2 linked regions of the Saccharomyces cerevisiae S288C genome follow. Changing the gene in region 1 together with any one later gene gives a genetic interaction. Each region holds a gene or a part of one and is shown on either strand. Other genes may lie near its edges.

The links.
Region 2: mutations in YFL051C (region 1) and CTT1 together harm fitness more than expected from each alone (negative genetic interaction), as found in Saccharomyces cerevisiae (2 studies listed by BioGRID).

What each region holds. Positions count from the first base shown.
Region 1 is NC_001138.5:29,495-32,475, reverse strand, and holds YFL051C (uncharacterized protein), read left to right. Parts: upstream 1-1,935; coding exon 1,936-2,418; downstream 2,419-2,981. Other genes in the region: ZNF1 (DNA-binding domain containing protein), read right to left, coding at 2,847-2,981.
Region 2 is NC_001139.9:652,836-657,140, forward strand, and holds CTT1 (catalase T), read left to right. Parts: upstream 1-1,798; coding exon 1,799-3,487; downstream 3,488-4,305. Other genes in the region: PDC6 (indolepyruvate decarboxylase 6), read right to left, coding at 1-146; NNF2 (Nnf2p), read left to right, coding at 4,125-4,305. UniProt on the Saccharomyces cerevisiae protein: Occurs in almost all aerobically respiring organisms and serves to protect cells from the toxic effects of hydrogen peroxide.

The sequences.
Region 1 (2,981 bases):
TACGTATTATTTTTCGAAACATTTCTTTCCCAGATAACATTGAAAACAGAATTTTGAAAGAAATTGCCGAAACCGAAACAGGATAACAAGATTAAACGATGCTATAAACCCCACTGGTAGTATGCAGAATACCTCTTTTTACCCCTTTAAGAGACATGGCATACATATTCCACAATGTGCACTAAGGAGAGTCAACTGCTCACAAAAATGTTAGTCATTATAGAACACCTTGTGAAATTTCGATCGATATCAAAAACCCACACATTTTGTAGACTTTATATGGGGAGAAACTATCGCTCTATCCCGCCGCCTCCCTAAATTCCAATATCCAGACTTTTATGCTTTTCAAATCATGCCATCTAATACTAAAAAGCGCAGGCGTTGTGCGCTTGGTTTGTGTAAGTTAACCAAAAAAGTTAAAAGTATAAGTCTTCTGCATCAAACTAACAGAAAAAAAATTTTTTTTACACTTGAAATGGTTATTGTCTGCTTATTGTGAAGTACGAACATCCTAACAAACGTTGTATGTTGCTTTCTGCGTTTTTCCTTACAGTGCTAGCGTAGAGAATATGAAAAAGAGGGAAATTAAGCAACTGCTTTTTCTATGATTTACCACTGTGAGCCCAAAACTTAACGTGCACCAACACGTGTGCGGCAACCTGGCTGGCCTCTCAATGTAGAAGTAACTGGTTTTCTTCTTGCCCTTTATTTTCTTGTTTTTTAGAACCAATCTCGAGCACTTGGATAATGCAAAACAAATACAATCTATGTCTTCCACACCATCATTTTACTATGCCTGCCACCATACATTTGTCTTTTGCACCATATCTTCATAACCTGTCACCTTGAAACTAAAAAAATATTCACAATGGTGCATGCTTGAAGCACAAACTAGATTAATTTGTTGAGTAAATCATGTGGTTCCAAGGAACAAAAAAAAAAATGCATTACATCACGTTCCTTGCTCTGTATCTCTTCACCTGCAATTACTCAAAAGAAAAAAAGAAATATAATTTTCCTTTGAGCACCCTTGGTAACTTATCTAAGAACACGCGATGTAATCGAAATTTAATAACCTAAAAAAGAAATAGAGATCGGTGACGTTTGACGCTAGCCAATCTCCACGAGATTTATCTGGAAGGGCATCACCCGTCAAAACACTAAGAAATTTGACACCTTATTTTTTTTTCTCCGAAACGTTCTGAGACGTTTCTTTTTTTTTCAGGACGCCACCCTAAATCCGAAAAACCTTACTTGGCATTAGTGTTGTAAAAATTTCTTTTTTCCATCGTGGTTCTGAAAAGCTTGCAGAAAAAAAGTTCGAGAACGTTTTCGTATGACTTATTAAGCTGCCCTTGAACTTGCCTTCCCTCTTCTTTACTATTTTCAGCCAGGGACAGAAATAAAGCAAAATCGTTTAACTTTTATGACCGTAACAGGTAACAATATCTGCTCAATTCGGTTAGTAAAAAAAAAAAGGTTATCGTAGGTTTACTATTTTCACATCGGTGCATAGAATCTATACTCTACTTCCTTTGGAGGGAATTTAGTAGTGCTCGATTAGCAGATAACAGCGCAGGGTTCTATGTAGTACGAAGCACTATCAGGTTTTTTAACGTACGTGAGTTGTTTTTTGTTTCTAATTTTTGGCTTGCCTGGGATAAACGGTGCCCATCAAATTATTAAGACCTGGTGAAAAGAGCGTACCTACATGGGTATCGGGGTTTTTGCCAGAAAGAGCTTTAACTGCAATTGATGCCTACCGGAGATTATTTTGATATCAAAATGCAGGAACGATATCTACTTCCCTAAAGCAGAAAACAAAACATTTTTTTAAAAGTCTTTCTTATATAAAGGTAACCTTCATTTCATGATAGCCAGATGATAATCTTAATGTAACAATTGGAGGATACCAGCATCCCTCCACACCTTCAAATGTCTATACCCCATTCCGTATTTTCGGCACTCTTGGTCTTCGTGGCGCTAGCTACTACAACCTTAGCCAGTACAGAAGCTTGCTTACCAACAAACAAAAGGGAAGATGGTATGAATATTAATTTTTATGAGTACACAATAGGCGACCAAACCACATACTTGGAGCCTGAATATATGGGCTATGAATACTCCAATACAAAGAAGTTAGGTTCCGTTAGCGGACAGACCAATCTCTCCATATACTATAGTCCGCCTTGTGAGAGCACTCCTACCTGTGTGACTTATGCAGTTTTGAAGCGTGATGAGGATGGATATGATCCTTGCGGACCTCTTTATGAAACTAAAAAACGTGACACTGAATACTGTGACCCAAATACTGCCTATTGGAGTTCTGATCTTTTTGGTTTCTATACTACTCCAACTAATGTAACTGTGGAAATGACAGGGTACTTAATATGGAGTATGGGCAACCGACGCCGTTGAACCTCTCCTTGGAGATTCTGATAATTTTATGACCATGACTTCTCGTGCACCTTACAGGAAACTTTAATGGCCTGATAAGTACAGCTATATTGTGATCACAATTATTAAAAACTAACTCATTTCATCTATAACCAAGTACAAATCGCACGACTATCATGACGATAAAAGCGTATATCCTTGATTTAATTCACATCACAATCACCCCCCTTGAAAAAAAAATAAATTTTTTTTCTTGCTATAATAGCATAATTGTCCACAAGTTCACTATTAGTGCTATCATTCTTCCCCACTGCCGCAAAATTGCAAAGGAAATAATTGTTTGCCCTGCAGGAACCATATACTAAAGAAGAAATAGATGCTATTAGCCTCTTCAACTGTCCGTAATCACTACATCTTGAAAGGTAAAATGCAAGTAGCAATGTGTTTACTTAAGGAAGCGCATCTACATCTTCTTTAGAACCATCTGTCGATTCAAGCGGATTAGAAAGAGGAAGCGTGATAAGCGCACACTGACACTTTGTCGTAAACTTATCAACTAATGTGCTATCACAATGCTTAAGAGA
Region 2 (4,305 bases), on another chromosome or scaffold:
GCATTACCAGCCCATCTCAATCCATCTACCTCGTAAATCTTGTCCAATAGGGACAAGTTGAAGTCGCCTGGTAGCCCAAAAATGGTGTTAACATTAACTTGCTTCAATCTTTCAAATAAGTATTTTCCAAGAGTAATTTCAGACATTTTGTTGGCAATATGTTTTTGCTATATTACGTGGGTTTTTTATTTATACTGTATATAAAAGAGGACTGCAATAGCACAAGATTAAGATAGAATGGCTTCAAACAGCCGCCTTTTATACATATTGGTAAAAGCTCGCGAATCGCACCATATCCCTTATCCTGTAATCAAATCGATCTAGGTGCAGATACAGATCAATTCATAAAAAGAAATTGAAGCACCAGTTTATCACTACTACACTATCTTTTTCTTTTTTTTTTTTTTTTGCGAAGTTTCGCCCTTTGTTCAATATCACTTGATAAGTTGTGGGCTTTTTCTGTCACTCATTCGGCTTAAAAAGTATTCGTTCTTTTGTGTTTTATGAAAAGGGAACGTGATATAAAAAAACATCCTTTGGTGTGGGACATGGGCTTTTGTTTAGAGAATGGTTATCACTACCGCCCCCACCCTTGAAAGCCACAGAAAATGAAAAAGTATGTGAATAAGGTGTGAACTCTATAACATTTTGGCCAAATGCCACAGCCGATCTGCATATTCCAATGGACATAATGCAACAACAATTGATGTCACATTCTCTTACACACTTCGATTGGTCCGTACGTAGTACTTTTTACATAACTGACTCAGGCGTTTCCTTCATTGAAATGCTCATCTATTGCCAAGTACATAGAATCCACAGTGCATAGGTTTATGAGATGCTTGGAAGATGTACGATCGCCTGCACTATATTAGTATATTTTTTCAGGCTTTACAAAACCAGAAAGAAATTACCGACTGTAATACTTAATTTCCATGATTTTAATCGTATGGTCCGTGAGGAAAGAGGAATTTTAGGTAAAAAAAAACCTTTGTCTATCAAAACATAAAAGAAAAGAAAAAAATTAAATTGAATAAGTCAGCTTTTTAGCATGACCACAGTAATAATAGTAATACGATATCAGCATGAGCTGCTAAACATTAAGAATTTTTGAATTGTGTTCGCTGGTAAGAGAAAATAGGGTAGCATTAGTTGCGAGATGGAAAATTAAAATATGCGTCATAAGGTATTTTCGACGTTGAAGATTAGGGGTTGCAAGTCCGAGAACTAAACTGCCTTCACGACGTCAAACTTATTGTATGGTGACAATAAAACGAATTCAAGAAGCCAGAGATGATGAGGAACCGATGACGAGGCACATGGGGATAGAACCTCCGTTATCTCCATTCCGCGTTGAGCAGCTCTCCTGCGTGCTTTCACAGAGACCCTAAGCCAAGACCGCGGACGGCCCTCTTTTTCAAGGGGATCACCGGTAAGGGGCCAAGCGGTGAAATTGCGTATTGTTTCCTCCTATCAATGATGAGTACGTCGCCGATCCAGAAGGGTTATTATTGTCATTGCCAGTACTATTCGTATGCTGAAAAAGTATAGTTCACTTCACCCTCTGGCTGCAGGCTAGCCTAGCCGATAATGCCCCCGACTCCCTCAACAGGTAGAATTTGTAAGGATTCGACGTAGCCTGGACACATTGTGCATTTATCGTATCCCCTACTGCTACACGTATAAGAAGTCGTTGCTTTACCTCTATTCCAGAACTCAATCTTGTCGTTACTTGCCCTTATTAAAAAAATCCTTCTCTTGTCTCATGCCAATAAGATCAATCAGCTCAGCTTCACAAATGAACGTGTTCGGTAAAAAAGAAGAAAAGCAAGAAAAAGTTTACTCTCTACAAAACGGTTTTCCGTACTCTCATCACCCATACGCTTCTCAATACTCAAGACCAGACGGCCCTATCTTACTGCAAGACTTCCATCTGCTGGAAAATATTGCAAGTTTCGATAGAGAAAGAGTTCCGGAGCGTGTAGTCCATGCCAAAGGTGGTGGTTGTAGACTGGAGTTCGAACTAACAGATTCTTTGAGTGATATTACATACGCCGCTCCATACCAGAATGTGGGTTACAAATGTCCTGGTCTTGTTCGTTTTTCCACCGTTGGTGGTGAAAGTGGTACACCAGACACTGCAAGAGACCCAAGAGGTGTTTCTTTTAAATTCTATACCGAGTGGGGGAACCATGACTGGGTCTTCAACAATACTCCCGTCTTCTTCCTCAGAGACGCTATTAAGTTTCCCGTATTTATTCATTCGCAAAAGAGAGACCCTCAGTCTCATCTGAATCAGTTTCAGGACACTACCATATACTGGGATTATCTAACATTGAATCCGGAATCAATCCATCAAATAACTTACATGTTTGGTGATAGAGGTACTCCTGCTTCGTGGGCTAGTATGAACGCGTACTCTGGTCATTCCTTCATCATGGTCAACAAAGAAGGTAAGGACACATATGTGCAATTCCACGTCTTGTCGGATACTGGTTTTGAAACCTTGACTGGAGATAAGGCTGCTGAACTGTCAGGCTCCCACCCTGATTATAATCAGGCAAAGCTGTTCACTCAATTGCAAAATGGCGAAAAGCCAAAATTTAACTGTTATGTGCAAACAATGACACCCGAACAAGCAACTAAGTTCAGGTATTCGGTAAATGACCTAACGAAAATATGGCCACACAAGGAATTCCCTTTGAGAAAATTTGGTACCATCACCCTAACGGAGAATGTTGACAATTATTTCCAAGAAATTGAACAAGTTGCATTCAGTCCAACGAACACTTGTATCCCAGGTATTAAGCCTTCTAATGATTCCGTTCTACAAGCCAGACTTTTCTCCTATCCAGACACTCAACGTCATAGATTGGGAGCCAACTATCAGCAATTGCCCGTCAACAGACCAAGAAACTTGGGATGTCCATACTCCAAAGGTGATTCCCAATACACTGCCGAACAGTGTCCATTTAAAGCAGTGAACTTCCAAAGGGACGGCCCAATGAGTTACTACAATTTCGGTCCTGAGCCAAATTATATTTCCAGTTTACCAAATCAAACTCTGAAATTCAAAAATGAAGACAACGACGAAGTATCTGATAAGTTCAAAGGGATAGTTCTTGACGAAGTAACAGAAGTTTCTGTGAGAAAACAGGAACAAGACCAAATCAGAAACGAGCATATTGTTGATGCCAAAATTAATCAATATTACTACGTTTATGGTATTAGTCCACTAGACTTCGAACAGCCAAGAGCTCTATATGAAAAGGTATACAACGATGAACAGAAGAAATTATTCGTTCATAACGTTGTTTGCCACGCTTGTAAGATCAAAGATCCTAAAGTCAAAAAGAGAGTTACGCAATACTTTGGTTTGCTAAACGAAGATTTGGGTAAAGTCATTGCAGAATGCTTGGGAGTTCCTTGGGAACCTGTTGACCTTGAAGGTTATGCCAAGACTTGGTCCATTGCAAGTGCCAATTAAGGCAGCACTATTTATTCATAATTATTCGTAATTATATCTCCATAATTATTTATTCATAAGTTTTCTTTAAGTTTATTCTCTACATCACTAGTTATTACAAATTGGTCGTATGTACAAGCACTAATATTTCATACTTATCGTACTTCATACATAGCAAATCCTGTTAGGAAAAATATGGCAGCAAAACAGATTGGCTGCCTACTTTTGACACATTTTTTTCTAATTCGGTACTTAGATCGGCATGAACTCAACGATTATCGCATTATACGGACAATCTGAAAAAAAAAAGTAGCCTAACTTATGCAGTTGTGTGTTTATAACGTTGAATTCCTAAACCTCTTGAAGGTGTAATATAACAAGTAACATAACTAGGTTTTCACAACTCGTTAGTTTCTATTAAAAGAGGAATAAACAAATTTTATTAGGACTAAGAGGATTATACAGAGTACCAGCAGAGAAAACTTTAAATTCTTTCTGTTATAATAATATCTTACCAAAGTTTTTTGTTTTCTATCTCCACATTTTTCGTACCATCTCTTTAGGTAATCACTCTGAATAACTTTTATTCATATACACCCCAATATTTTTTAAGATTCCACCTATCTCCGTTACATAAAAGGATCCATGCACAATTTTCATGGAGGAACAATTTACTAATCAGAAGAAAGTATCACATCTACAGTCATTAATGAACACTAAAAGGAGTGAACAGCCCACCGAATTTGCCAAAAAACATAGGTTTAAAGATACGCTTGCATTGTTCCTGGTTTTTTTGAGTTTTAACCACTTCACTTCCCTATGTTTATTGGTTTCCTTTA